Drosophila melanogaster: one gene and its partners. The protein of the gene in region 1 interacts with the protein of each later gene in a pairwise test. Each region holds a gene or a part of one and is shown in the gene's direction. Other genes may lie near its edges. The genes, in order: CG43691, CG2258, ebo and CG10274.

What was found.
Region 2: the proteins of CG43691 (region 1) and CG2258 interact in a two-hybrid assay, tested with the Drosophila melanogaster proteins (one large-scale study listed by BioGRID).
Region 3: the proteins of CG43691 (region 1) and ebo interact in a two-hybrid assay, tested with the Drosophila melanogaster proteins (one large-scale study listed by BioGRID).
Region 4: the proteins of CG43691 (region 1) and CG10274 interact in a two-hybrid assay, tested with the Drosophila melanogaster proteins (one large-scale study listed by BioGRID).

Annotation. Positions count from the first base shown.
Region 1 is NT_033778.4:13,388,148-13,395,289, reverse strand, and holds CG43691 (uncharacterized protein), read left to right. Parts: upstream 1-1,928; 5' UTR 1,929-2,071; coding exon 2,072-4,765; intron 4,766-4,840; coding exon 4,841-5,437; 3' UTR 5,438-5,795; downstream 5,796-7,142. Other genes in the region: CG4744 (uncharacterized protein), read left to right, coding at 1-547.
Region 2 is NC_004354.4:8,094,345-8,103,308, reverse strand, and holds the start of CG2258 (uncharacterized protein), read left to right. Parts: upstream 1-1,854; 5' UTR 1,855-2,240; intron 2,241-3,237; exon of another isoform or gene 3,238-3,600; intron 3,601-3,692; 5' UTR 3,693-3,784; coding exon 3,785-3,958; intron 3,959-4,018; coding exon 4,019-4,168; intron 4,169-4,240; coding exon 4,241-5,440; intron 5,441-5,498; coding exon 5,499-5,696; intron 5,697-5,766; coding exon 5,767-5,875; intron 5,876-5,937; coding exon 5,938-6,147; intron 6,148-6,235; coding exon 6,236-6,408; intron 6,409-6,474; coding exon 6,475-6,666; 3' UTR 6,667-8,964.
Region 3 is NC_004354.4:470,287-479,025, reverse strand, and holds ebo (ellipsoid body open), read left to right. Parts: upstream 1-2,446; 5' UTR 2,447-2,629; coding exon 2,630-2,632; intron 2,633-2,733; coding exon 2,734-3,257; intron 3,258-3,712; coding exon 3,713-3,868; intron 3,869-3,945; coding exon 3,946-4,328; intron 4,329-4,519; coding exon 4,520-4,716; intron 4,717-4,807; coding exon of another isoform or gene 4,808-4,825; coding exon 4,826-5,262; intron 5,263-5,320; coding exon 5,321-5,870; intron 5,871-5,936; coding exon 5,937-6,106; intron 6,107-6,174; coding exon 6,175-6,384; intron 6,385-6,464; coding exon 6,465-6,900; intron 6,901-7,093; coding exon 7,094-7,192; 3' UTR 7,193-8,007; downstream 8,008-8,739. Other genes in the region: CG13373 (uncharacterized protein), read right to left, coding at 950-1,013, 1,095-1,419, 1,735-1,879.
Region 4 is NT_037436.4:6,177,818-6,184,563, reverse strand, and holds CG10274 (uncharacterized protein), read left to right. Parts: upstream 1-2,734; 5' UTR 2,735-2,796; coding exon 2,797-3,715; intron 3,716-3,769; coding exon 3,770-4,383; intron 4,384-4,448; coding exon 4,449-5,507; 3' UTR 5,508-5,887; downstream 5,888-6,746. Other genes in the region: D19B, read left to right, coding at 1-633, 694-2,147; CG7376 (uncharacterized protein), read right to left, coding at 5,920-6,082, 6,139-6,299, 6,357-6,588, 6,646-6,746.

The DNA of each region.
Region 1 (7,142 bases):
TCACACGGAGACCATGTTGCGGGACACAATGGAGGCGATTAGCAGCATAATTGATGAGCAGGTGCGACGAAGAGCATGCATTCCTTTGCGTCCGGATCTCCAGGACTTCTATGACCTAATTCTCAAGACATCCAACGAGCAACAAAAGTGTCGTGAGAAGCGACAGAGCACACTTCAAATCCTTGCCGAGGATTTCAGTCAGGATGTGCGATTGCTCGATCCGAGTAAGATCAGCCAAAAGTCGAGAATTGTCAAGAAGTTACTGCGACAGTACGAGGATCTACCGATGGAGGATCAACAGGCGGCGGTTGGAGTGCGTGATGAATTGCTCCTGGATCTGGTTTATCTCCAGAAGATGGCCGAATCCGCAGAGCGCAATCAACGTAACGCCCGTTTGCAGGAGGTGCTCAAACAGACCAGCCTGGACGAGGTCCTGGAAAAGAGTCTAACCACCGAGTACTCACCGCGTTTTATAAAACTGCTAAAGACGGCGGAGCTTTATAAGGAGGCGGGCGAGCAGCAGGCCAAGGCATTTGTGGGTCTTTAGACCGCTTTAATCAACGTTTTAGATTTTTGTTTCAATTCATTAGTTGTTTTTTTCAATTAAAAATTCCCTTTGTTTGAGTTAAGTCATATATTTTTAACACATTTGAAATAAGCAACAAAATTCGTTTGAATTTATGTCAATAAATATTTTGAATAACACTTAGTTATTGTAAAATATTTTTAAGAATATAGTTTTATCCAAAGTAGTGCGAGAGTCCCAGATTGGCACCCAGATCGGTCTGGCCCTTGAAGGGTCCACTTGTCCACTTGGATGCCGTGCTGCCCAGATCTAGCCTTGTGTTGCGATCCTGCGACTGCCAAAGATTGGCACGCCCACCCAGCTCCAATTGCTTACCCAATCCGGGAATATTGGCGTGCGTCAGGGTAGCTCCATGACCTTTGATGTGGGAGTAGTCCAGTGCAGCTTCATTTCTATCGAACTTGAAGCCATTGGCAAGCTGATTCTGCGAGGCAAATGCCTTGGCATCCAGATTGTGAACACCGTTGTTGAACAAATTGGCGGTGGCCGTTTGCTGGAAGCTATCCCGCACACCGGGCGTATGGGTTTTGGTCAGTTCCAGGCCGTGTCCATGACTGCTCATGAAAAATAAGATTAGTTTCGCTATTGCTCAGATCGTAATCCTTTAAGAGACTCACTTGTTGTAGCCCAGGGTGGCGCCGCTGGTTACGGGAGTGGATACCGGTTTGGTCTGCGTGTTGCCCGCTGCGAACACTTGTCCAATAACATGGTGATCGGGAGTTCCAACGGCCTTGCTTAGGTCCAATCGGGCATCGGCACCGCCACTCGGATTGGATGTGAGTGATCCACCCAACACCTGGCGACGTGCCCTGTAGATTCTGGGTGGCGTCGGTGGTGGAGATCAGTGGCTGGGTATACGGACGTTGGGGCAAGGCCACCGCAAGGGAGCCAAGTACGCCAACGATGACCACAATTAGGAGAACAATTTTGCTCATCTTGCTGTATTAATCTCTTGATTTTCGATCTACTTGACTAAGCGGCTGACTGTTGACTGACGATGCTGGGATCTGGTCACCGTGAATTATATAGCAATCTATCTCTGAGTGGGGCTTCCCATCGAAACCGACAATGAATACCAATTTATAGATGGAAGATTTGTGATGCCTTATCTGTAAGCTGAGCAATGTTTCGCACTGGGATCCCCGAATGACCAGGTGGTTCACACCGTCTGATAAGAGATTGTGCATCCCCTTGAAACTACTTGCCGGTGATTTGCAAACTCTTTAAGGGTTTATTTTGAAGACAATTTTAATTAAATATATTTATGAATTTATATATAATAAAACAAGAATTTTAAAATAAAATCAATTTGAATTCAATTTATAATAACATATTTGCCAATGAGTAAGTTCAAATTTTAATAGAGTTAGCTTTTAAATTTTTTATGACATTTCATGACATTTAAGACTGTTTAAAAATCTAGTTAATTGGTATTCTTTGTATACACAATTCAGAGGATAAGGGATCAAATTCGATTAGTACGCGATGCAAGTGCCCCTGCTCCACCGGAGCACCCAGATGGTGCTGCTGAAGAAGCAGATCCGGCGGAAGGCGAAGGAGTTGCGTCTGCGAAAGCGTCACGCCCACCGCCGCCTTCAGGTGATGAGAAGGATCCGTGACCATCTGCTCGACAGGATGAGGAACTCCATAGATCACCGGCAGCGGGATGCGGAGCAGAAGAAGAGGGAGCAGACACGGAGGGCGGTGGGCGGTATGCTTTCCATGTACAAGCATTGGCTGCGCAGCTGGTCAAAAGCTTTAAGGTTACAAAGTCAGCTAATTCGGCACCAGGAGCATGTAAAAGTGGGAATGCGTCGCAAACTTCGACACTTGAGGAGGCAGTTGAAGAAAGTCCGCAATCCAAAGAACTTGGTCGACAAGTGCTTCCATCGACTGTTCAAGGCAGTTAGGAAGTGGCAAAAGAAACCGGATTACTACGAACACGTCAAGGATCAGGACAAGATCTGGGAGGCAGAGGCACTGGAGGTTCGAAACTATTTATCGGAGGTTCGGGGAAGGCGACCACGAAAGCTAAGCCGTGGCAGGGTTAAAAAGGATTTCGAAATCGAGGACTTTGCTAAATTTTGGAAAACTGAAGTGTTGCAAACAAACGCTATGATCAATAAACAAAGGGCCATGAGAGGAAGAAACGTGCCAGTAGATACAGCACATGATAAAACTAGGAAATCAAAGAAGAAATTGTGGAAAAGAAAAAAATTATATATCAGCTTAGATGAACTTGTTATTCGGAAAAAATTGAAAAGAATTCGGAAGGACATTCGAAAGCCAAAGAAACATGATCCATTAAAACCATCTTTAGAGGAACTGAAAATGTTGATAAGGGAACTAATCAGCTTCAACTGGAAAAAGATAGTTATTAAAAACCCGAAAATTAACAGAAAAGCCATAAGAAACCCCAAATTTGATTTTGACAAAATCTCCGATATTACAACTTTAAACCCAAAAGTACGAATAAAAAGAATTGTGAAAAGCGGACGAGCTCCCAGAAATGTTCCAGATCCGAAAATCATTAAATTCAAGGTAACAAGACCTAAACTTCGAAAGCGTAAAATGCACTATGTGGATAGGGTAATTAAAGACGAATTAAATGCACTTTTAGAGACAAAGGCAAAGAAAAGGGGCAATCGTCATGGAAAAACTAAAGAAGCTGAAACTTTTCAACAGGAAAAGGAAAAAAGAGACTTGGAAAAGCAAGAAAATGTACTCGAAAGATTATATAATGATATACCCCTATATATGAGGCGTGATATTGAGAGAAGAAATAGGAAAAAACTACGTGACAAACTTCAAGCTTCTAGTTCGAGTAGTTCGATTGCGTCCAAAGAGGTTTTCATCGGATCCGAAAAAGTGGCCACTAAGTCGGATAAGCACAAAAAGCTTTCCAGTACGAGCAGCGTTTACGTAATCAAAGACCGACCCGAATTATCTGCCGAGAGGAGTGGTTCTCATGTGTTATTCAAAAGGGATAGCGTTGCGTCCCTCACTGAATCACTGAATAAATTAGTTATGGGCAATCGAAACCGAAAATTTACCCGTAAATCTATTCGCATGCCACCCATCATACCCAAGAAGATCCGCGTTGCTCCTCCAAGAGGTCAAGAGGAAAGTCACTATCAGTCTTTGAAGAAGGATATCATGTACCTTCCTACAAACAGCGAGCATATGGGTGTATCTAGGATTACAGCCAGCGAATCAGCTCTGCACAGAGGGAACCAATCGAACAGGCATCTTCCACGAAGGGCTTCCGATACCCAAGTTGGTATTTATCCGACTAAATCCCAAAGCCAAGTTTTTGGTCATCTATCTTCGAAATCGACATCCAAAAATAAATTTAAATATGATGCGCTGCCAGATGATCTTGAAAAACTCCTTGCACCGGTGCGAGATCGCCACGACAAAACAGAAAATGCCCCAAAGCCCTACGTCAAAGAGTTCGAATTCGAACGGTTTCATTTGAAAGATCTACGCTCAGATGCCAAATTCAAACACTTGCAGTTCCTCCTTAAGGACGTCATACAAAGAAACGAAGTTATCGAGTATATTGCCGATGTTAATGGACTTATGCAGGAAGTAGCTAACCATGAAATGTGGTCCCATCTTCAGAGTCTCTACAACGAACTCACAGATGCAGGAGTTACGTTAACGCAAATTAAGGAAAGTCTGGCCAAAAAGTACTTGGAGTATCTTAACGAAATAGTGACCGAGAAGAACTATGCACGAATGGAACCGCCGCGGGACAATATGCTTAACGTTTTGGAAACCGAATCTATGAAAGCCAAACAGAAGAAAGAGGTGGAAAAGTTTATGGAGCGAAACTGGTGGTCTAGGAAGCGGGTCAGCACACGGCTCATTCCCTTCGGCATGCGGGGAATAAGGACGAGCAAAATTGACCCATCTCACAGCTCACGCCAGTCGCAGGAAATCAAGATGAACGGCGGAATGTACAATAAACTCCTCGAGCAGGAGCTCAATGCAGAACGATTGGAGCGCGAGGAGCGTAAGAGAAGACGCTTTAGCAGCACCTTTGGATCAACTATAAGCTTCAACAACAGCTTGGATCTGGCGGCCAACGAGGAGCAGGATGTGCGGGACATCGAGTGGCGCTACTCGCTACACAACATTAGGAGCATGATGAACCAGCACCAGCTGATGTTTCAGGTGGGTTAACTATACTCAACCGCCAAAAAGTTATAAAATAACATCTTCGAAATACATTTTTATTCTTTCTTTCAGGCTTTGGATCGCAAATCGCGAGTGGAGCAGTTGGTCCACAAGAAGATGAAGGGAAAAGTCGAAGAATTGTATACCTCTGCACAATTTAGGCGTCCTAAATTCCGTTCCACCACTTTTACGGCAAGGAAGAGGAGCAAAGATCTTAGGCCCATCGAGGAACTTTACTACTCACCCCGAAAAACTTGTCGCCTGCAGAAGATCTCCTGTTCCGCAGAGTGTTTGGCATGCGAAGGCCAAGTTGAGAAAATTGGTGATTCGATGATCCTGGACAAGTGTCCTCGGTGTGGAGTAAAGGTGCCTGTGCCCGCGCCCACTACCCCGTTCTCCATGTCGTCCTCGTCCAGCTGCGAGATCTTGTCCAGCGGATCCATAGAAGCCTGTGCCAAGAACAAGCTGCTAATCAACACGCTCGAGGACCTTTGCACACGCTGTGGCTATGTCCATAAAAAGGGGCATCTTTGCTCACAGTTACCCATGAATGAGCGGAAGACCAAGCTTCTAAAGCGGATTAAGGGCACCGTACCTACTGCTCCCGAGTGCCCGGCATTTTGCTGCCCACGCGGGATCCTTAAGAATACCAGAAGTTTTGATCCTTAGCAGGGGCGACAAGGAGTGCTGAGTACTTTTGAAGCCACCAAAGTGGTAACTAAACTCCGGATATGCACGGATATGAGCACCACCAAATCAGCCGGCTGAGGCGAATGAAACATTTGGTTTAAGTGCTAAATAAATTCAAGTAATGAGTTTGCCTCTGTCTGTGGGTGTGCCTGTGTTGTTAAATGCTTTGCCAAGTTTCATAAAATATGCAAGGACTTTTGCACACACACACACACACACATTGCACACCAACAAACAGGGCCAAGCTCATGCGATGCACTCACGTAGAGAGAAAATGTCTGCGGGCTTTTAATACACTTGCAGGATGCTCCTTCTCCTGGTCGTGTTCCTTATCCCCTTGCTGCTCCACCCACTGCTCCCCCCGATGCTCCTGCCACGACTTCTCGCTCATGCAACGAAATTTCATCTTGCCTCCTTTTTTTTTCGGCCAAGTTTTTAAGTCGAGCCATTGCTGTAATGGAATTTTATTGCATACTCGCACTCGCATTCTGTTTGCGCAAGCGAAACATGTTTCAGACATTTTCATAAATGAAAACGCTTAACTACACAGCCGCCGATTGGCCGAAGATCAGGCAGGCTCTCAAGGAATTTTCCGAGTAACAGATCCTATATTTCAAAATTGTTGCAATTAAAATGGAACTGTGCTTACAATGTTATTGGTTCTTCAGTAAGGATATTCTCATTTAATTTAGGACATTTTATGTATTTTTATACCAGATCAGTGGATATTACTTACTGATTTATAAAGCTTGTAAGACTGCATTTGGAAATCCTAATATTTGTTAATCTAGTTCTTGCTCTTACAAATCTGCTTATTTTTCTTTTTTCATTTTATATATAACTTGTGACCGAATAAATTCCTTCGAGTAACTTAACCCATGTGGAGACATCGCTTTAAGCCATAATTAAAGCACTTGGTGACCGGCAATCGACCGACTGTCGAACGCAAGGCAATAACATTTCTGCGAAATTGATGCCCGGCGATCAATCATTTCCCAGCCTACGGAGACCAGCACAGGATACCGGCCACTTGGCACCCTCCTCCACTTTCTGCTCCTGCTGCTGGTCCTAGTTCAGTTCTCCGTCTCAGTTTCGACTTCCAGTCCATATCCTCATCCAAATCCACATTCCCATTCTACTCAGCAGATTGCTGGCGTGGGGAAGTTGGCGTAAGCTGAGACGTTTTCATTTGCATTTTTCGTACAAATCGCCGGGAGGGTTGGGGCCCAAAAGCAAACTGCCAAAACCGAATTCCATTCGAGTGTCCGCACAGTGCCCGTGGTCCTGCCCAGCATCTCCATCCCACCTCCGATTGGCGATGACTGCTGTAACATTATCTTGTTTGCTCATGACACGCGACGCGGACCCAGAAAGTCCCTTCATGTCGAATCGTTTCCGGCCGTTAGCTGCCCGCTATTGTCGACATTGGGCACACGAAAGAAAAATGTTTAAATATTTTTGGAATCAAATAATTATTATGTTGGGACTCAGAAATTATTTTCGAGTGGGTAAAAGTTCACGAGGTTCTGCAAACTATTTTAAAGCAATTGAATATCAACAAGAAAAAGGGTATATTTCATATTTCATAATTTAATATCTTCTCGATTAGCCTCGCTTTTTTCAAGTGTCCTTCAGCCGCGCGTTGCGTTGCAGGACTTGTGATTTGCGACATCCTTTTGTCATT
Region 2 (8,964 bases), on another chromosome or scaffold:
AACAATTAGCGTGCACCAAGATCCTAATTGTGGACAAATGTTTTGCGGCCGTGCGTGACCTTTTGGAAATGAAAGTCAAGCAGACCAGGAAGGAGGAGGCGACGGAGAAGGAGAGGATGGATTAAGGAATGGTTATGGGGCACATGAGGATCCACGTGCCGTAGGATCCTCCGCCAGCCACGATATCCTCCAGGAAGTCACCATGCTCTCGTCATCGTTTCGATGGAACTTCGAGTTCCTCGAACCGTCGATCGCAGCCGATTTGCCATAGTTATATAGAGAGCTAAATGCTAAACCAACTATATACCAGCGTCAAGAACTACAACGGCAACATAAATCTCAACTAAGTGCCGTTCCACGAGACCTACAAAAATATGAATACATATAGTTCAAAACGAGGCAAGGTTAAAAGTGTATTTCTGTTTGTTTTCGTTTATATCATATATATTTATTATACTATTCCTATTCTTATAAATGCAAGTACAATGAAAAGTTGTTTATTTTTTTTAATAGATATATTTACACACACACACACACATACACACGCAAATACACATTTGTTTAAAAGTGGCCTGCTGTTATTAAACTAGATATGATAAGTACACATATAACGAAAAAAACAACACTGTGCTATTATAATTTATTGTGTATGTGATTGTTTCCCCATTATGATACGATTATGATTTATTGTGACCACAAGCAAGCAAATAAACGGAAAATATTGTTGAATCTTTAAACTTAATCGAATTGGGTCGTCCAGGACTTAGGAACTTTTTATATGATGCCTTCTGAATCAAACAAAAACTGTACTTATAAACTATTTACGCCTAGTGAACGTTATTACAAAGGGGTTTCCCCTGTGAATTGTAGTCTAAAATAGCAAATTGCGGTTATAACTAATCAAAATGAAAAAATAAAAACAATATATATACTACATATGTGTGCCACAGGCAAAACGTTTAACCAGAAAAAAAAACTTGCTAGCATTTAAATAAACATTTTTATAACGCATCCCAAGAATTAGCTTGCCCTTAAAATCAGTATTTTTATATAAATCACTACACGTACTGTCCCCCACAAACGAGTTAAATATTATATGCAAATAAAGAAACGTTTTCCTGAAAACCGAAAGAGATCGAGCTTTTTTTCAACATTTAAATTCTAGCGCCAAGTTGGCAGCCCACATATATCTGATATCGATAACGATAACAGGCCGGCATGCCCCACCTCTACATTAAAAGGAGAAGAGCAAATAGGAAATAAAAACAAGTGATTGGATAATTTTTGTTTGTTGATCCCGCTGTCTTTGTTTGGTAAAATGGTGAAAACTTAGTTAACGCCACTTGGATGTGCTCAAATTTTGGTTAGTGTTATTCGTGGCTTGTTTAAAACAATATATAAACAAACTCTAAACGCCGTTAACCCTTGTGCGCGTGTGTGTTAGCTTGCGGCTTTTTTTTGGGTGTGGAATAGTTTGTTATTGTTGTTGTTGTAAACACATATGTATATCTGTGCAACAACAATTTGTCGCTCATACTTTTTAGATACAGTGCTCTCTCTTTAAAGCGCATAACAAGTATTTATTTAAATAAATTTTGAAAACTAAACAATTGCCAAAGAGTGAGTGCGGTTTTTAAACTGTTAACATTCAAGAAAATGTTAATACAATTGCAACACTTCTTGTTGCTAAAGTTTCGCCTTATCGAGTGATCACCGCCCCCCACAAGAATTCCCTTTCCGACCATCGCCCCTCCCCGGCGACAGACAAATAGACAGGAGAGCAAAAGAGACATAAAACAAGTGCATCGCATTTTGCCAGGAGAGGAGCAGCATCACCCTTCTCGCATCGCCCATTGCATTTCGCATCTCGCATCATTGGAATTAATCAAGTGAGCTTCTCATTCGCGTGCTGCGGCCAAAGGGAACAACAACAAGTGATGGAGCAGCGGAACTAGCTGTGTCGCCTTCAAAAGGACATCGAAAGCACAAAAGAGAGGAGCAGCAAACACGCCCATCGTCGGAAGGCAACATAAAGCACACACATCCACACACACACACACACATATGCAAACGTCCTTGGCTCCTGGACGCCAACAGCGGATGTGCGGGAGGGCGCAGGACGAAGGATAGCTGACGTCTGAGACAGGAAACAACAGGAAGAAGACAACAGCAGCAATAGCGACTACAACAACAGCAACCGACAAACGCAATTACGGTAAAAGGTGCGCCCAACAACATGGGTAAGTGAGCGGGGCACATTCTCATTGCATCCTTTTTGTGTTGTGCCCATTGTCGCATTTCCATACATTACACCCATTCACCGCGTGTCCTTGTGTGCGTGAGTGAGTACAGCAGCCCTGCAGTTCCGAAAATCACTTTGCATTCGAGAGCATTCACCAGGTGAATCATCGGCGACAGAGGGGCCTTCGGTCCTATTGGATGTCCAATAAGATTTCTTTTGGGGCAGTCCTATAGGAAATACAAGGTTTTCTTTAGAACAGTCCTGTACATCTATTACTATCCTTTGTAATTTGTAACTACACAACACTTGTTTATAGTAAATTTTGAAAAGTAGTTGATTTTGAAGTACTTAAAGCAAATGATCTAGTTCATTTTAGGTTTTATTAACCGCAAAATATTTGAAAAAGTGCGAAAAGCCTAACTTTGAAAACGTCCATTAGTATTGTAGCTTTATTAAAAATTAATATACATAAAGATATTTGTGAAGATTTAATGCATGCATTATATTAAAACCACAAATGTGGGCCACAAATATTACTGTTATTTGTACCGCTATTCACTGGCTTATTTATGAACCGGTTCACTCTTGCACGGATATCCTGCGAGAAAAAAGTGTGAGAGAAAGATAGAGAGAGAGAGAGAGAGGGAAATGCGCGCGCGTGGAGAGAGAAAGCACGAGTGGGCGGGGCAGTGGAGGGGGCGCTGTGTTTTGAAACGGATTTGCTCGTGTTGAGATTTTCACACAAAGCAATAAAATAGGCACCCAAAGAAAATTTAAATTTAAAAAAAATCTAAATTTGTTTTTAAATATATGTAAAAGTTCTTAGGACAGAAGTTGGACTTGAACACGTACCTTTCTCTCTAAACTGTTCAAAATAGTGTATAAATTGAATGCACTTTGTGCTTTTTTCAGTGTAGCGTGGAGCGTAGAGAGCGCAGAAGCCACGTGGCTCTCTCTGGCGTGTTTGTGTTTGTGGGGAAAACAATGTAAGCTGAAAAGGATCAAAAGCGCAAGGCGTTGTTGCAGGACCTAAAAGCAGCGCACAAAGCAGAAACGGGAAAGGCAGGAAGAGCGAGCGAGTGAGCGAGCGCAAGTGAAATATGAAAATTGCATTTTCCTCTTCCTGTGTGGGGGTGCTCCATTAAAAATTCCACCAGCACGAGGAGTATCCTCTTTGACGGCTCCGTGCGAATCCTGCGGAACTCAGCAGTTCGCTGCAGTCCAGTTTAGTGGCACGAAAAAACATTTTGGAGCATCAATAAGAGTGTAGCCAGTGCCGTCAGTCCGCAGTTTGGCCCTCGGCAGTGAACTTAACTTTTTTTTTTAGCGCCTGCTGCAGTTTTTCCCCGTGTGCTTGTGTGAGTGTCGACGCCCTTAAAGTTTTTCAAATTTTCCAGCTTTGAAAATCACTTAAAATCAATCCGTTTCGATTTAATTCTTTTTATTTTAGCAGAGGCAGCGGCAGGAGGTGGCCCTGGTGGAGGAGCAAGTGTTCCCAGTGGAGGAGGTGGCAACGACATCGGTTTAGGCATCGGCATCGAGATGCTCAAGGCTCTGTACGACTTCCAGGCGGTCTATCCGAAGACCATCAGCTTCGATGAGGGCGAGTACTTCATCCTTTACCAGACGTCCGCCCGCCAGCGCAATTGGTGGCAGGTTGTCAGCATGAAAGGCAACATTGGCTTTGTGCCCTCCAATTACGTAATGAAGATTAAGGTGGAGTACATCGCTCACTAGTGGCTAAAAGGATTACTAAACATATGCAAATTTTGACAGGTGGAGCACGACTTTCTCATCAGCTTTCTGAACTCCTCGATAGAATCGCTGGAGAAGTGCACGGACCATGAGATCAATGGCATCATGTCCAAGGACGAACTGCTGGACAGGCTGCGCGAGAAGAAGCACACCATGGAGCGTCTGTATGCGGTGGGTAGATTCTAACTACTCGTATGGCCAAATGAATGTTATTGATGACCTATCTCCCCTCCTATCTTGCAGGAGAGTTCCGAGCGCGACGGTGACTCCTCGCTTTCCTATTCACACAGCTACAGTGACAAGGGTAGCCACCGGCACTCGCATCCCCATCCCACCCAATCCCAGACGCAGCTTCATTCCCAGCACAGGCAGCACAGTCCGCCGCCCAGCGGCGGCAGCGTTGGCTCCCAGCGTTTGGACATGAGCAAGAAGAGCATGTCAAGTCCAGCGGTGGGCTCATCGTGCGGCCTGCCCCAGAATCAGGGCATGATCGAATCGCCCAGCATGGGCAGCATGCAGTTCCAGGGCAGCAGCTGCACCATCCAGACGCCGCAGCAGCAACAGCCGCTCCCAGCACCGCCAGCACCAGCTCCCTCGCCATCGGCAGCATCGGCCACACCCACTGCGGCATCAACGAGCAAAGCGGCCACCGGCGGTGATGTCGCGCAGGACAATAGCATTACGTCGGAGCCCTCGGAGACGACAACGACCACTACGACGACCAGCGAAGATGTGGTCACCACATACAAGGAGACCAGCCAAATGAGCACCAGCCAGCAGCATAAGCCGCAAAATGGGAGCACTGCCTCGGCGTCCATTTCCGCATCTGCCTCGGCCTCAGCTTTGCGCAGCAACGGCGGCAACGGCAAGGCCAACGGTAGTGCCACAGCCCTGCATCAGGAGCTGCAGCAGGAGGAAGCGGACAGTGCGCCGGACAAGTCGGATGATGCCAGCGCCGTGCAAAGTGACGACGGTTGCCCGGCCAACGGAGATAGTGCGGATAATAGCCAGGCGCTGGACAGCATCGACAGTCCGTCGCATCGACAGCGCGGCCTGAGCCTGGGCAGAATCGAGGAGGGTGCCACAGGAGGAGGCCAGTTGAAGGTTGAGTCATCGGATGTATATCAGATTGTGGACGCCCTGCGGCGGAACACCAACCTCAGCTTCGATCTCTCCTGTGAAGCATTGCGCGTGGTGCTGACCAGCCTGGAGCAGCTGTACAACGGTGCCATCAATCCGTACCTGGAGGCGGTGGCCGTTCATGTCACTGGCAAAGTGGCCACGCCCAAGGAGCTGCTGGGCATTACGCACGACGCCAAGCGCTTGCAGTATCTCTTTGCCCAGCTGGCGGACTGCAAGAACGATACGGAGCAACGCACTTGGATGCTCTACGAGGATGAGGAGGACATCATTCAGTTCCTTGAGGAGCTTGTTGAGATTTTGGTAGGAACTAGTTTTTTTTTTGTAACTTTAAATCTTAAACTTATATCACTCCTTACAGATCAATGCTGATGAGAGCATCAGTTGCTACGAGATGTCCTGCGATCAGTACCAGATGTTTATCAATCTGGTGCAGTACTATCAGATGGAGACGCGCTGGTCCATCAAGCGACTGCTGCTTAAGACCTTTACGGCCGCTTGCCATCTGGACTATATCATTGTGGACATATTGCTGACCTCGGTGCTGCCATTGGAGATTGTAAGCAGGAGCTCAGATTGTGCCACCTAATGGTTTTCTAAGTTTAGAACTTAACATACTTAACTTTCAGGTCGAGGACATGAAGACGCACTTCTCCAATCTGGATCGCTTCAAGCAGCTGGTCAAGATGCTCACTATTATCTTCTCACTTGGACAGCCCATGCCGGTTAATCATCAGGGTAAAAGCTATCTTAACTTATTAACCAATAGTTGCATGCTTATACTTTGATGTCTATTATAGATTATTTGGGCGTACATTTTGCCAGCTTCCTACTGGAAATCGTCGAGGGCAATAATCCGGAGGTCTTGGTGGACATGGTCATTGCCTTGATCTTGGCCTTCAATCAGCAATTTAGCGAACATACCTATAATGTCATCATCGAAGGTATGCAGAATCTGCCATCCGCCAAAGTGTTTACGGAGAAGTTGCTACTTTTGCTCAATCGAGAGGGTAAGTTTTCAATTTTAAGCATACTTTTTAATTAACTACAAAACATAAGCATGTAAATTGGATCGATTTCTTCTTGAATTCTAACCAGATGATCCCACACGCTTGCTCAAGCATCCCAACGAGCATATGAACACGGTGCTGCGAATGTTTATCGACATATTCAGCCATCCGGATACGGCGGGCATGTTCTACACGAATGACATCAAGGTGCTTATCGATATAGTGGTTCGCCAGCTATCCGATTTGGATGCCGGCAGTACGGTGAGTCCGCCAAAAGTCAATGCAACTATAGTGCTCCCTACTAAGTACACTTTAATTTGGTTTCAGACGCGACCATGCTACTTGGAGCTTTGCCGACGCATCCTGCGCAATACGAACTATCAGGAGCACCAGCATCGCAAGCATGATCTCATGAAGATCTTCACGCGCATCTTCTGCGAGGAGACCGAGTGCAGTGCCTCCGATCAGCAGCTGGTGCGGGAAATAGCGAACGAATTTCCGCAGCTGTTCAAGGCCTAAGGATTATTGGATACGTATACCAAAACAACAACAAAAGCCCAAACCAAAAAAAAAAAGAACAAAAAACACGGAGGGAAACCAAAATTGTAAAGCGTTGCTAGTGAGGCGAGCCGTTGAAAGCGAGCCAAACCTTAAAATCTCAAATAATTTCAAGTTTGATCAGTGCATTTGTTATGCGTTTGTTTTAGCGTTTCGGTCTAGGATAGCCCTCGTCAAAAAAAAAAGTCAAATATTGAAAAGAATGCATTTCGATCCATGCCGGATCGAAAGGGAGCACACACGCGACTCTACATATATCTTATGAACATAGTCTGTAAGCAGGACAAATGTACTAGTTGCATGTGGAGTAGATGCAACCTCATAGAGATGATAACCCAATCTAGCGATCTAGGCGAAAGAAATGAAGCTATAGCCTATAGCCCATATAGTCTAACACTAAATTATCCCCTGTTTAGGATGATTTCACTAATTTAGAATTTAGCCAGGGACAATTTTAGCCAGAAGCAGAGTCAGAGATTAGCCTCACTTTTAAATTTTTATAGTTCCAATTGCCCATTTGTTTGGAATTCAAAATTTTGACAAAACAAAAGAAGATGGAAGCATAAGAAAGAATGAAATCTTTCGAGGAATATAATATTTATAGCCTAATTATACACCTATAATGAAAATATACATTCATGGCGAATGCGAATGAAACGTTAATTGCAATCTACAAGTAAACAATTGATATATTAACGATGTATGATCGCAGTATTTGCAGCTAGCAAAATCCAAATCGATTCGAATGTAACGAGCATATAATGTTAAATTTGTTTATATAATCTATGAGATGGAGAACTAAGCCGAACAGGAAATCATTGACAATTGTTAAAGCTCAAATACTTATTAATTGGAGGCTAAGGAGGCTGGAAATTGAAAATAATTAACTATGCAAGAGCATTGAAAGTTAGGACAACCATTTGCATTTCTCACTCACTAAAAGACACGAACACACTGTGGCACTTGCATTTTGAAGGTATACAGAATTCCGAATTATATTAAAACAAATTATTGCAGTACCAGTTTTATTTTTTTTTGTAATACTTGTTAATACCTTTTCTTTCTGAACTATAGGGTTTTAACCTCCAGCAAACCAGCCACATTTTCTCTATATATCTCTCACTATTTATCAAGAAAAAATAACAACACAAAATTCCCAGCGGATCCAACGAAAAGATCCATAATTTTAAATTTTAATTTTAAGGCAACTCTATTGTATTTGTTATGTTATTTAGTAGTTAGATTCGAAGAGGCCTAGGACCTCTCAATCTAGTTTCAAAGCAGGAATATTGTATTTATTTCTGATAGCACGATCCGCTGGGATAAGTTATATCTATCTCTATATAAACACATACAGCCAACAAGATAACAACATAAAGAGTTTTGGACAGATTTCAATGGCCTATCTTTGTTATTGTTACGTCACAGTTATAAATCTTAAAAGTTAAAACAACGAAGCTCAAATGAAAATTAACATTTTAGACCAGATTAGTAATGAAACAAAATTAGAGGGCGGAAACCACATATGATATATATTCTTCATTGGATTTGGTTACCTTAAACGTAGTATAGAAATCTTGATATCATTCCACTTTAAAAAAGCAATACCCTTTTAAGTTTTCACCCCCTTCAGTTAACGAAAAGTGGTTTAGAAAACACTGCCTATAGCTTAGGAAAAAATTGAAAATTCGCCTCAGCCTGAATTGAAGTAAAAGTTAACGTAATTATAAAATTCAACATTTTGCCATAAATTTCTATTGTGGTTTCCCCCCTTAAAACCATTGCGATCCAATTTGATTTAAGTTTTAGAGATTCCCATTGTTATATTGTTTAAGAAACCAATTTTAATCAAAACGCATGAGCATAATATTAAAAGATCTATTTAAAAACCCCTGTATGGATCTAATTTTTAAATTAATATTAAAATTGAGACAAGCTGCGCTGATTCATGAACGAATTTAATTTGCCAAGTTTCATAACGAATAGGAGTATTTACAAACAGTTAAAAACTAAACTAAATCAGAAACTAAAACCAATATTAGCCACGAATTGTACCTTTCGATTTTGAATTTAAATAACACTCTCGGTATTTGCAAGAAAAATAAAAGAAATAAATAAAAACAATAAGGCAAAGAGTAAACGAAGCTGCAATAAAAACAATTGATGTTTAAAAGTACTACGTTAACAAAAACAAACACGTTTTACGTCAAGCAAATAGAGCTAATTTAAAAGATTGTTATCCTCTCATTTTTTAACACG
Region 3 (8,739 bases), on another chromosome or scaffold:
TTGTCTGCCCATGGTCTCAGCTCTGAGCTACTCCAGGATGCCCTGCGGTCCAGCACCAAGCTTCTATTCGAATGCTTGGCGCGTTGAATTTCGCAAGGATAATAAGGATCGGACTAAGATTCGACGCTCTCAGGGGCCTGAAAAGCTGTAAGAAGAGTACAATTCGCAAACTGTTCGTCCTTTTGTGGGGCTGCATCTGACCTTAAAAACTCCATGCCTAGACGAACTAGGGATAGATGAATGCTTCCGACATATCTGATCATTGTCTTTAAGACTAACGAGGATTTCCTACTGCTCCTGCGCCGTCTTTCCTCACAAGAGGAGCAAATGGCACGCCCTGCGTCGCAAACGCAGCACACGGCGCTCCAGAATGTGCTAACTCTTTTGGCTCTTTGCCAAATGCTCGTTGAGCAGCGTGAAGGGAGCGGTGAGTCTTCCCCAGTACCTTATTCTCCTTCCCTAGTTAATAATGTTCTCTTTAGATCCTTAATGACCATTTCAACCGGAACCCAAAGACTTGGCATATTCTGGTCATGCCCTATGACTCCTAGAGGCCCAGCGCAATCTGGCCGGGAATCGTACGGTCCCTCTCACAGGAGAGTCCCTGGATTGCCTTCTTGGCAGCATGTTGGATGTAGACATCAAGTACTTGATCAGCCACGGCGGCAGTTGGCAGCTATTTGTGGATCTGTATAATGCACTCACAGACAACCTGATTGTGCTGTTAAAAGAACACAGTAACCTGATGTCAGACCGAGCAGCCCAGCCCAGTCTCCTGTGCCAGGATCTCATCCAGGCTATCGGCCGGAAAGAAAGCAGTTACAGGACATAAGTGAAACGGAGCTGGTTGGTAATACATTTGACATTGTGTCGTCCCAAATTTGTACTGCTTCAGAACTTAAAATTTAACAAGCACCGCGACTTTATAAGTGCTGGATTGTGTAAAGCCTTAGCTGAAGAACATCTGGCAGTGCTCGCACAGGGGATCCTTCTCTTCTTCAACTCGATTACCACTGGAAATAAGATGATGGTCGATTGATTTTCAAATAAAAGGTGTTCCCAAGGGGGATGCTTCTTTTAAGGACTTAACTCACAATAAAGTCACGCAGCTGCGGCAAATGAACCTGGAGCACTCGCCGCAGGAGTAGCCACACTCCTCGCAGAGATCCATCACGCAGTTGACGCATATGTCGTGGATGAGCGTTTGGCGCTGGCAGCAGCGCGATTTCACTCTCTCCAGGCGCGGATTGGACAAGTCGGTGCGAAGGTTGCGCAGAACGATGGAACCATCGCCAAGCAGATAGTACTGCTCGCATAGGGCGGGCTCCTCCTGGCCTTGTACCAATGGCTTCAGGGCATTCTGGCCCTGACCCTGCCTATTGCCGGCTGCGCCATCGAAAAGCATTTTGATTGTCTTCTCTGCGAAAGAAATAGAAAATCGGAGAGTTCCAGTTGAGTTAGACACTTAAAGGAGGGTTAGACACTCAGCTTCGATGGGACGTGCAAAAGAACAGCAAGAAAAAAATTAAAAAAAAAAATTTATGCGTAAATTCATCGTAAATTAGAGGTCGCTGCTTTGCTCAATTTTTTGTTCTCGCGTCTAACTGTTCAAACTGAAGTGAGCAACAAGTCCGGGATAACTGCGCTCTGAGCGGCGCTATCTCTCCAATCTCCCACCCCTCCATTACAGGATCGAAACAAGATAAGTTGGTGCGAATAAGGCAATTTACATACCATGGACCTCCTTCATCTTCCGAGGATCACGGGAGTCGCACATTTTCTGGTTCACAAATACCTTCCGCTGCGTGAGATTGTTGTTGGCGTCGCCATCCGCTGATCGCGATCGTTTTGCCGCCTTTTTACGGACCTGGTTTTCCATGATGAGATACTGGCAGATTGTTGGGCAGATCGGATAGGAACGTCTTGAAATATCAATTGAAAATCCTTTACTTTCAGGTTTCCTAACTTGCAGGCTAACAGTTAATCAGTGTCCCGTTTTGCTAACAATATTGCCTTATTAGAATAGTGCTACCATATTAAAAAATACATACAAAAGCGCCGACTGCGATCAATTTTTTTATCGTCTATCGATCGAATTTGCGGTTAGGCGGAAAATTCAAAATGTTTCTGGTTATGAGCTGTTTGGAATAGTCCAGCATTTTTAATTTATCAGATTAAAATGACTGAAAATATAAAATTTATTACATTTGTATAATATATATATATATATATATATATATATATTTGTATAACTATGGATTTGAATTGGATGCTTGTCTGCTCGCTCGTAGTTTTAGCTGAAACATTTATATAGCCAATTTTATTTAAAAAAAATTTTGTTTTAGGTAATTAAAATAAGAAAGGTAGAATTTTTTTATTTCAAAATACCCATAACCAACAACTATCGATATTTATTGACTATCGGCCAGGGTTGCCAGCCGTGCGGAATTTGTTCACTTTCCCGGAGTAGATTTTGGCCACCTTTTGTGTAAAGACACAAAGAAAACCATGCAATTAATGGACGCCGACTGCTGATGCGATCGGAATTAGAACCGCGAGCAAGCGGAGCTCACAGTGACCGTAACATCCAGATCACAGATACTCGGAAGGATCGTAAAGGACACGGAAAATGGTGAGGCGGGGGGCTCCGGGCCAAACGCACTATTTTGCCAGTGATTCAGAGTGATTCCACCTAACCGGGAATTGGTTTCCACCCACCCACTGTCTGTGCAGCACGCCGCATCTTTGACGACGGTGGAGGGACTGCTGCAGGAGTTTTATCAGCCCAGCACCTCCAATGCCCGGAAACGAGAGATCGAGACAAACCTCTTGGCCTTCAAGTCCCAGCCAGAGGCGTGGCAACTTTGCCTCCGTGTGGCCACCTCTTCCGACACCACGGAGAATCAGTTCCTCTGGTTCTTCAGCACCTCAACCTTGGAGCACACAATCACGCGGAGATGGACACAGTTGACGTCCACGGACAAGACTTTGCTGCGGGAGACCCTTTGGAACTCGTATGCCCAACTGGTAGCCACTCCAAATGTGGCCAAACGGCACAGGGACACACTGGCCCAGTTGATAGCCCTACTCGGAAAGAGGGAGTTCCCTGAACAGGACCCCAATTACATGCAACACTGCATGGAACTGACAAAAACACGGTTTCAACTTGGCATCAACCTGCTTAAGATCACCTCCGAGGAGGTGGTAAGCAACAGGGGCGACCTGACCACCGAATGGAAGCAGTACTTCTACTCCTGGTGGGTAAATAGAGCGAAGAGGCTAAAATCGTATGTTTTTTAAAAAAGGTTTTGTAGTCCCATACTTTTAATGTCTGTTTAAGACTACTTGGATTTTTAACTGAGTACGGCGTATCAGATGGTCGATGTTTTCGAGCATAGCGTATTTTTATTATTAACTTTGGTGTTATTTGTTTAAATACACGATTGCGTCGCACAACATAGAATAACACAATCCCAGACCTTGTCAGTCCGTTCTTGTTTTTGGTTTATTAATAAGTGTTATATTGAGATTGAGTATGTATATGGCATAACAACTAAAGTCAGCTGACCTCTTAAAACTCAACTAATTGAACCGTTAACCCAGTTATCATATTATATTGCTTTGTTGAGAGAAAGCACTATAATTACTGGTCAGTTGCCACAGCACTGTTCCTAACCCATTTTGTGCTCCCTTTTGCCGTGTGTTTCTGTAGCATCTCCATGTGTGTACCCGATGTTCTGGACCTGGTAACCAAGTATCTGCTAATCGCTGTATGCCACATCAATGGCAAAGACATCCAAACAACCATACCAAACACCCTCATGGACTTTAGTCTAACCTCAGCGCTGCCAAATGACAATCAATTAAGGTGGGTCATCATAACATTCAAAAGAGCATATGTTCATTACAACATTTTGTTATAACATCTCTCTATATACTCCGCAGTTCCTCAATTTTGGACCTGCTAGGATGTGTGCAGCACTTGGTCTCCTGGATACGCACTGAACTGATCTCGGAGTACTTCCTTATGAGCATACTTGACCTTTCCCAGTGGCGACCAGCCCATGAGCCCATCTCCTTGGCGGCTCTCTCTGTGTTGAATGAGCTCCTCTACCTCCAGAAGCCACTGCCCTTCCCAGGACCCTTGATGGGCGGCGTTACCAGCCTCCTGGAGCAGCACAATAACAATCGGCGGCAGAGCGAGATGTACAGCGACAAGTTTCGGGAGCTGCTGCGCCTCTACACCACCAAGTATGCCGCCAAGCTGATGCAGGAGCCAGACCTGCTGGAGACCTTTCTCAATCTGCTATACAGCTGCACCACTGAATGTGAGTCGCGTGATAAAAATATTGCCTTTTGAGATGCTAACTTATTTTTTATTTTGAGATGATCTTTTTGCTGTGTAGTCATAAAACACTCGCAATATTAAATGGGTTATGTGCATCTCGTGATCGAGATTTCGAAATGTCGTTGACAAAGATATATAACAAAAGTTATTAATTTTGTATTCCCCAAACAGTACACGGCGCCTTGGACTTCACCGAAAAGCTTGAGATCTGGACACCCATCATCAAAGGCATTGCCCAGCACCCCGCCAAAATCACGCGTTATAACAATGTGCTTACCCAGCTAGTAGATGAGATTATGAGGCGCACTCAGTTTGAGGCCAACAAACCCGAGCTAGAAGTGCTGGACAACGAGCTCATGGAGGACGATGTAAGTAGCTCTGATTTAAAGTGTTTTTAGGTGACAAATTTCAAAAACCAAGAAATAGACCTTGCATTAGAACGATCTTCATTTTATCTAGACATTCATCCAATTTCAGACCTCCGCCACTGAGTGGCAGCAGTTTCTAGACCAATGCTTCGAGTCCCTGGCCCTACTGGCCAACACCAGAGGTGCACACATCGTTTTCGCACAGGTCTATAACCACTGGTCACGGCCACAGATGTATTTACTGTCCTTGGAGCACGCATTGGACCACGGAAGCGCTCGAAGCTACGAAGCGGCACGTAAACTGAAGGGCGCCAATGTGGGCGAGATTTTGCGCGACTTTGCCACCGTCTGCCAGGCGGTCGTGCGTTTGGCCCCATTGATGGACTCATCAACAGCAGCACCCGGGGTTGCTGATGAGATGGAGTGCCAGCTGCAGATGCTGTCCGACAGTTTGCTGCAGACTCTACAGCTCCTCGCAAGCAATCGTTTGTATAGCGGCGGCAGCGAAATGGACAAAGCTACTTTCCAGACTGATTTGGACAACCTGTAAGTGGGGCATCCCTTTGCATGATGTATGTGATACTATGCTTTCTTGATCCTTCAGATACGCTCAAGTTCTACTGGCCATGAGGAGCATCTTTCCGCTAACGAAAGCCATGAGCGGCGAGGAACTGCTGCACCGCCTGTTTGCTATCCTGGGCAGCATTTTCGCATGCAATGGATCCTTAACGGCTGCCTCCCCCATTGTGCAGCAGGCGGCAAGCGAGCTGCTGCTTTTCATATCGACTGTGATACGGCCCAAGTGCCTGCTGGATATACCACAAATCCAAAGCCTGCTGCAGGCAGGCTCTCGCTTGGGCGCCCAATTGCCGCGTCAGGTGTGCATCAATGTACACATCAGTCTGGTCAGCTACATGGTGCTGCCGTGGAAAAGCGTTCCGGAGCAGCAGCAGGAGTATCCGAGGCGTCTCTGGATGCTGCGTGAATATGTCCAGGGGCTGGCACAGAACTTTCTGGATCTGGACTTAGGCCAGGCCAACGAGAGCAAGGTGGCGGCCACCACGCTCAGTTTGCTGGGTACTTTCACTGCTCTCATTGAGTATTTTAAAGCTACTGGAGGCAATGCCAAGGATATGCTGGCAAGCACTTTCAAGGTGCCTTATTTTTTTAAGTAAATTTAAACATCCTATCCTAATCTATTAACGTTTTTTGTTTTCCAGCCTATTTTAACAAAGGCCCTAATGATTTTTAACAACTTTGGGCAAAGCAGCATCGCCATGGCCATCACGGTGGCCGAGTTTAGCCTGAGCATGCTCCGAACATTGCCCACCCATTTGGGGGCCCAGTTCATTAAGGAAATGATCACCTTGTTCATAAGTGTCAGCAGTAGGTGGGTCTCCCATCTCTTTCTTTACAGTGTGAGTGCTTACTAATGATGCCATCTCTTTCTGTCTCCAGGGAGCAACTGACTCTGAGCCGACTGGCTGTGATGGAAAAAATACTGCAGATGTTCAAGTTGATCGTGGAGCAGCCAGGGAGCGCCTCCTTGGGGCTGCTTCCCTCCATTTTAGATTTTAGCACTCAGCAGATTCTGCCCTTGTTGCAGCAGCAAAATGCGGCAACCGATAACAGCGAGATCACTAGCCTGTTGTACGCTTTGTTTGATAGGTGCGTGATGCTGCATAAATTAAAATAAATTGTACTTGTGTCTTGTGTCGTCATGAATTAACGCCCTTTCTCCATTTTAGTGTCCTCACCTGCAAGTGGCAGTTCTTCTACAAAAATCAGCTCTCCAATGGTCACAGCGGTGGTGGCTCCGGCAACTTCAACTGCAGCGACAACCTGCATCCAGCACACTTCATGGCCATCCTGAATGCGTATGGCCAGATGCTGGTCAGTGGGACTGATCCGAGCAATGTGCGCAGCGTTCTCTTCTCAATGCAAAATGTGAATGAGAGGAGTCGGTTGTACCAACGCGCCTTGTTCAAGGAGCAACTGCTGGCTTCATTTCAGCGGGCCTTGCTCAATCTGCTGTTGAGTGGAGAGGGCTCCCTCCACTTCGACATGATTGCCCAGGCGTTGTATGCTATGGGCCAGGTGGACCGACGCCAGTTGCTCGAGAGCTTCGTTCACGCCTCTTTGCCAGTGGCTCAGACGTCGCTGGAGGAGATCTGCCAGACAAATGTGAGTCAAATACTGAATATAAAGGGATCGACACCACTTGCAAGGCAAAAAAAGAAACTGTCTTCCATTTATGATTTAAGCATTCTGTTACAATCTTACTGTCCATGTCGACTTGTTTCAATTGTTTCAATCAATATAAACACAAAATTGCAAGTGGTGGTGACTCTTCCATGACTGACTTTGCGTTTAATAGGTACTACCTTTTATTGTTCAGGACATTCCAACGTTTACGCAGAAACTCACGCAGCTCATGCAGGACGCCCACTGCGTGCACCTCAATGAGACGGCGTAGGCCTTCCTTCCCTCAAGCGCGGGACTTTAACAGCTCCCCATCCTTGTTCCGTAAACCACGGCCGCATACGATTAGGTTCTTGCATGTATATAAAGTACTATATTGTTTTATTTTTGTAACTTTTAAATGTAATATGCTGTCGCATTTTGCATGCCATATTTCCCGATACTGTCTGTCATCTACTTCAGGTCCTTTGTCTTGTGGGCCGTGTCCCCAAAGCCCTATGTTCTAACACCATCCCACCAGATTGCGTTTGGTTCTTCCTTGTGCGATGTTGTATTTCTGTTTAGAAAGCTCAGCATTCGTCCCGATTGAAAAAGACATTAAATGTTAACTTAAAACAAGCTTCGTACATAGATTTAAGTGCATTATTATCTTTAGTTTTATGTCTACCACGTAACGAATATACGATTACTCTGCTTTCTGTGCTGTCACCGCAACTCGATAAAAGTCATACTACATATACATACCTACATATATCTTAGTAGCATATACATTTATATCCATAAATTAATTAGCATATCTCAACATGTAAATCAGTTACGTTGTAAGCAAGTATAAAGTATCAAGTAAGAAAATAGCTGGAAGGGCCGAAAAACCCAGGTACGAAATTATGTATGTAATTTATTTCGGGAAAACCTAACACCACCACCAACCAAAAGTAAATTCAAGGCGTTTAAAGTCCGTTGTAATGATTTGAACTATGTATGAATGTATGTATGTATGTATAATTGCTTAAGTCCTGCAATCAAAAGTCCAATAAAACTATTTTTACCATTTTATTCGCCAGTTGTTCGCAATTAGATATGTATTTGATTAGCATGACATTTATTAAAGTCTAGTTAGTATAATCAGTTATAAAACGATGGGTGGCACGTGGCTTTATAGGAGCAAATGCAAATTTTGCTCTCTTTTCATACTATGCATACATAGGTAGACATGTATGTATATAAAAGAGATCGAATTATGAAACAGTTATCTTTCATCTCTCTTTTGTTCCCTTTCCTTTTCCACTACATCAACTATCGACTGTTCGAGCTTTTAATCCCGTTACTTTGTTCTAAAGTTGCCTGAAATGTAACTTTATTTTGACTACACTCTGTGATTTCAGTTATTCCGGTCAATTTGGTGAGTGCAGTTTGATATTGGAGGCCTACATTCGGTTGGACTACGATTAGTGATAAAACGGCGAAATTAGTTAAAAACCATTGTTAGAGGTTTTCGTAGTGTGTTTTCGGTGTCGCTTACAGTTTTTGTAACTGTGGTTTCAATAAATGCTGTTAAATATCTGACGCAAATGTTCGGTGTAGCTTACGGTTACTTTTACATGTGATGTACATACATATGTACATATGTAAATAGCGGTCGTGTTATTTCATTGTATTAAATCAAGCAACAGAGGCAATTTATAAATAAATTAGAATCTCAGGTAAGCTATAGGCAACTTATTTTCAATAAATTGCTTATCATTTCAACATCCATAACCTTAATCATTGCAAACTATTACTAATAGGATTTCCTATAAACATAGACCTATGAGTATAACG
Region 4 (6,746 bases), on another chromosome or scaffold:
AGTTCCAAGATCTGGTGGCCAGCAACGCGTTCGCCTGCCAAACAAACTTCGATGTTCTGGACACCAGTGCCGCTGTGGCGGATCTGCCGGGCGAGGAAGAGGACAACGTGCACTTCGATCCGCTGCTCAACTCCAAGATCGAGATCATTGAGAACGAGGAGGACGTCTTCAAGATGCTCGAGTCCGTCGAAAAGGAGGTCGAAGAGGTGGAGATGGAGATGGAACAGCCGTTTGGCCGAGTATCTCAGGATGACTCCTTCGAGAGCGGCAACGACAACGACCTCGACGCAGACTTCCAAATCAGTAGTGACGACGACATTCCACTGGCCCAGCGCAGCCGGCGTGGAGCCACTCGTGGTTCCAAGGCGAAGGGCAAGCCGAAGTCGGCTGCCAAGCGACAGGAGGAGGAATCCGAGGAGTCCGAGGAGACCAGCTCATCAGACGACTCCGATGGCAATCCGAAGGACAAGCCCAAACGCAAGAGGATTCCTGCTACGGAGCGGGATCGCCACCGCCTGATTGACTGCCACATCTGCCACCAGAAGTTCAAGAAGGCGATTCGCTACGAGGAGCACATGAAGCATCACAACGACTTGCTACCCTTCCAGTGCACCGTCGAGAGTTGCCGAAAAGGTAAACTCCGCCCGCAGATCCTCGAGAAGTAGATTTATGTGATTATTTTTCCAATTTCAGGCTTTACCACCGCCAATGGACTGCGCGTCCATGTGGAGCACGCCCACACGGAGACATCGGCTATGCATCCGTGCACCTACGAGGGCTGCAACAAGTCCTTTGCCCGGCCCGTGCTGCTCAGCTTCCACATGAAACGCGTGCACAAGGTGGACACCCCGCAGAGGGACTTCCCCTGCACGGAGTGCGAGAAGGTCTTCCGCTGCCCCACTGCCCTCAAGAAGCACATGTACAAGCACACGGGCGAGGAGCTGCCCTTCGCATGTGAAATTTGCGGCAAGCGCTTCCCCATCAATAGTGTGCTGCGCGACCATCTGCTGCGCCATGCGGGCATCAAGAACCATGTGTGCCCGTACTGCGGAGTGGGCAAGACGACGCGCCAGGAGTGGAACAAGCACATCCTTACCCACACGAAGGAGAAGAAGTACGAGTGCCGGCAGTGCGACCACGCCTCCCACAACAAACAGGCGCTGGCCAACCACGTGAAGGTGGTGCACGAGAAGCGCAAGGACTTTGCCTGCCAGTACTGCGGAAAGACCTTTGGCAAGTCGCACGCCTGCAAGATTCACGAGAGAAGTCATACCGGCGAAAAGTGCTGCGAGTGCAAGATCTGCGGCAAGGTGTTCCTCTTCGAGAAGGGCCTAACCAAGCATTTGAAGACGCACGAGAAGCGTGATTTGCCCAAGACGCAGGGGACCAATGCCTTAATGGGCGACGGGGCCAGTGGATCCTCGACAATAGCCAAGCCCAGTCCGCACCTGCGTGGTCGCGTCGAGCGGGTGGACATTGCTCAGTTGGCGGGAACGGTGGCCAATCCAATTCCATCGGTCAACCTGCCCTCGTGGTCGCCGCAAGTGAACTTCACCAAGAAGGAGGGCCAGCATATCTGCCCGGACTGCGGCAAGGGCTTCAATCACGTGAGCAACATGAAGCTGCACTACAAGGTGGTGCATCAAAAGGTCAAAGACTTCTGCTGCCGCTTCTGCCCGAAGAGATTCGCCAAGAAGCAGTACCTGCGGCACCACGAGTACATACACACTGGCGAAAAGCCTTACGAGTGCAAGGTGTGCGGCAAGCATTTCCGGCAGGAGCAGGTGCTCAAGACGCATATGAAGGTGCACGACAAGCCGCCCCGTCCGCCTGGCAAGCCCAAGGAGCCGGCTGGACCCAAGGCGGAGTCCAGCACCGCGGTGAAGCGCCAGCAGCCGAAGAATTTCGAGCAATACCAGGATCCGGCGGCGGAAAGGGCAGCGGCCACCGCCGAGCTGCTGGCCTACCAGATCGAGGAGAACGAGGCCAAGCGCAAGGCGGAGGCGGAGCTCCGGAAGATCCAGGAGGCTGCCTTCGAGCAGCTAAACAAGCTGCAGAAGCAGTCGAACACTTACGACGGCTTCTACGCGCAGAAGGCGGAGGCGGAGGGCACCTCAGTGGACGCACTGAAGTTGGATCATGTTTGAGCGGCAGAATCAAACGGAAATGCTTGCGAGCAAACCCGGCCTCCGTTTCCGATCATTTCATTATGTGTTTCTATGAAGGACATATGAGTTATAGTTCTCTAAGGATTACCAACTAGTTTTCGTCACTTTGCAATTTGATCTTTTTTGTATTTAAATCCCCCCTTTAAACTGCTTAAGTTTGTACTTTACTAATTGTATTCATTTAACAATGATTTAATATAATAAACAGTAATAAGTATTGAACATTTGAATTTTAAATTCGCCCCAGTGCTGGTAAGCGGGTATTGTTGGTAAACAAGACAGAGGTGAGCTGTAATGCTGCCAACTCGTCTGTTTTTTAGCTACATTCCACTAGCTATGCAACTTATATGAGACACATATAAAACTACGTATTTAATTTAGGTTAATACATACATTTATTAAGAATCACACTTAAAATGGCACATATTTTTTAAAACATTTGAAATTTGTTATTGATGCTATCCATATTTCTAGCCGGTTTAATAATTTAGCTATTAAATAACTGTTTGTACTTGGCATCACTGTGGGGTATTTTTTGGTATTTGTTTTGGTTCGTCTGACGCGTAAAGTTTTTCTCGGCTTAATATTCCGCGGATTTGGCCAGCAGATTCCCCCTGGAACAGGCATCATGCAGGAGGAGGCCGAGGCAGCCCAGTACTCGGTGCACGCGGTGTGCCGCATCTGCCTGAATCGCCTGCCGGAGAATGGCGGCGGCGCAGGATCCTTTGACCTGTTCCTGATACCCGGATTGGCCAAGAAACTGTGTGTCTGCACTTCGCTGGCCGTGGAGCAGTCGGATGGCTTCCCCAAGTGTCTGTGCGCGCAATGCTTCAGCCGGCTGGACGATATGCACGAGTTCCAAAAGCTGTGCGTGGACTCGGTGCAAAAGTTCCAGGACATGGTGGCCAGGAACGTCTTTTGCCCGCCAGCGAGTGCGCAGATGAAAAACTTTGATTTGCTCAACGTGGCGGGGAACGAGCCTGAGCTGGTGGGGCAGGACGAGGAGGATCGTATCAACTTCGATCCGCTACTGGATCACAAAATGGAGATGATCGAGAACGAGGAGGATGTGTTCAAGATGTTGGAGCACGTGGACAAGGAGGCCGAGCAGGTGGAGAAGGAAGTGAAGCAAGATGAATTGGACGCCGCCGATCTGATGACCATCTTTGCCGCGGAATCCTCGGAGGAGAGCGAAGAAGATATTGACCAAGATGTGGACTTTGAGCCCAACAGTAGCGATGGTGACGATGATGTGCCTTTGGCCCAGCGCTTACGGGATAATTCGCGGATGATACCAAAAGCAAAGGCAGCCGTAATTAAGGAAGAGGACCAAGAGTTCCCAACAGGCTCCGAAGAGGAGGACGAGGACGGAGAAAAGTCAAAGAGTCGACGCAAGAGGATTCCGCCTGGCGAACGGCACCTGCACCGCATCATTGACTGCCACATTTGTCACCAAAAGTTCAAGAAGGCCATCCGCTACGAAGAGCACATGAAGCACCACAACGACCTGCTGCCCTTCCAGTGCAAAGTGGAAACCTGCAGGAAAGGTGTGTAATGATGGCTCCAAATCGCATTCTCGTTTTGATCACTGGCATTTACAGGTTTCACCACCGCTGGAGGATTACGACTTCACATCGACCACGCCCACACGGAGCTATCCGAGGTGCACTCCTGCAATGTCGATGGCTGCGGCAAGACCTTTCCGCGCATACGCCTGCTCACCTTTCACATGAAGAAGATGCACGGCATCACCAAGGCAGCGGCGCCCCCACGGGATTACCCTTGCACCGAGTGCGAGAAGGTATTCCGCTGTCCCATGGCGCTCAAGAAGCACATGTACAAGCACGACGGCAAGGAGTTGCCTTTCCCCTGTAACATCTGTGGCAAAAGGTTCGTAATCAATAGTGCTCTAAAGGATCATCTGATGCGGCATGCGGGCATTAAGAACTACGTGTGTCCGTACTGTGGCGTGGGAAAAACCACCAGGCAGGAATGGAACACACACATACTGACGCATACCCAGGAGAAGAAGTTCAAGTGCCACATATGCGAGCACGCATCGCACAATAAGCAGAGCCTGGCCAACCACATTAAGATCGTGCACGAGAAGATCAAAAACTATGCGTGTCAATACTGTGGAAAGACCTTTGGCAAGTCACACGCCTGCAAGATCCACGAGATGACGCACACGGGGGAAAAGCGCTGTGAGTGCAAGGTAAGGGTAGAAAGATATTTTAAGCCAGCGTCGTCATTGCAACGTTTTGTTTTTAATATTCTTAGGTTTGTGGAAAGAAGTTTCTCTATCCTAAGAGTCTGACCAAGCACTTGAAGACTCATGAGAAGCGTGTGCTTCGTGCTATTGAGACCTACCGCCAGCGGCAGGTGGAAATGGGCGAGACGCCTGGTGAACAGTTCGACAATCCACCCGCGCCACCAGTTGAGGGCATATCCATTGAGCCGATCATGTCCCGAAACGCTGCCGACGAATTGCTTAAGGTGTGCGCCGAATCCGTGGCCACCATTCCCAAAGATCCACGCCGTGTACAACGAGTGGATCTGGCGCAGTTGGCTGGCACTGCTGTGAACCCCATACCCTCTGTTTCAGTGCCGTCGTGGTCGCCGCAGGTGAACTTTACCAAGAAGGAGGGCAAACATATCTGCCCCGGTTGTGGTCAGGGATTCAACAATATCGGAAACATGAAGCGGCACTATAAGATCATCCACGAAAAGGTCAAAGATTTTGCCTGCCGCTTTTGCCCCAAAAGATTCGCAAAGGCTCAAACGTTGAGGCATCACGAGTGGATTCATACGGGCGAGAAACCCTTTGAGTGCAAGACCTGCGGCACCCATTTCCGCCAGGAGACGGCGCTGAAGCGCCACCAGCGCACCCACGAGAACCGTCCACCCGTCATTTCGCCCAAGTTTTATGCCGCTCGCGAGGAGCTGGAAGAGCAGGAACGCAGCAAGCGAGAGGCGAAGCGCCAGGCGGATGCGAAGCGGCGCGAAATTGCGGAGGCGGCCAAGGAGCAGCTATCGTCGCTGCACAAGCTTGAAAGTAGTGACCGCAGCCTGCACTCCTACGATGAGTACCAGGAGGCAGCGGCGGAGCGAGCAGCGGCATCCGCTGAACTCCAGGCGCAGCAGTTTGAAGAGAACGAAGTAAAGCGACTGGCGGAGGAGGAGCGCCGCAAGGTTCAGGAGGCTGCCTACGAGCAACTGCAACTGTTGCAGCATCAGCAGGAGGTTGACAAGGCGCAAAGCTCCTACGATGGCTACTACGCTCAAAAAGCACATGCCGATGGCACCACTTTGGATGCTTTAAAAATCGATCATGTCTGAGATTTGGCCAGCGTTTAACGCTGTCACAGATGGTAAATCAATCCTGGGTTTTTTTTATGAAAAGCAATACCTTATAATCCTTATGAGAACAGTGTGTGTAAGATGGATATGATATAGTTTTAAGCTGAAAATATTCTTTAATACTATTTAATATAATGTCCTTAACTGTAGTACAAATAATACTGTACATTATTCAGGAGAACACAGAATACCTATGTGAATTCGACTTAAGTTTAATGATTCTGGTCTGAATGGAGAGGTTGCATGTCAAATATCATCTTTTCAATAGATGAATTGATTGTGGCAGTTATATATTTATATATAAAGATTGTTTATAAGTAGCTTAAAAAATAAATTTGCCCTATTAAGAGCTTAAATCTAATCGGAATTTTTTGTTTTAAATTCATAAGTTTTACTCCTCCTTGAGTATGAATAGCTTCTTAAGGCTGTCTAGTGTCATGTTCTCCAGATCCCAGTGGGTCGACAGCGTAGTCGTGTCATCGGCTGAAGTAATTAGCGATAGAATATTCTCCTCAATCGTTTCATTCACAATGAAACGATGCACCTTCGTGGGTCTAAAAACAATTGTATTGAAACTGACAGCAACTTCACTTCAATAGCGCGCACTCACCTCTTTTGCCCAAATCGGTGAATACGACCTATGGCCTGGCGCTCGTCTCCCGGATTTAGAATGGGTTCGACGAGGAAAACATGTGTGGCTTCGATCAGGTTCAAACCCTTTGAGCCTTTGGACAGTGGCATTAGTAGACAGGTAACATTGCTCAACGGATTCTAAAGGAGGAAAAATGTTTAGCAGTGATAAATTAAATTTAACAGCAAGATAAAAACCTTGAAATCATCAAAGTCCTTATTTGTGCACTTATTGCGGAATTGAATGCCGTTGAGACTGAGCGCTCTGGCAATTTCAATGAGAATCGCCTGCCATTGAGAGAATACAATAATCTTTTCCTGTTCATTTTCACCCTTAATTTTCAGCACTAATTCCACAACACTTGAAATTTTTGTAGAAAAGTCACCAATAATTGACTTGTGGGCACCTGGGCGTACCGAGTAATACAACCTATAAGAAATACATGGTTACAAGCGTAGTCTGTGAGGGTTAATGACAAAAGCTTACTGTGGCGAATCTTGCCGACAAAGTGGACACTTTGTGACGCCGGCTCGGCCGTTCTTCCTCCTCATGCTATCCAGGCAGTGCTGGCACACAAAATGCCCACA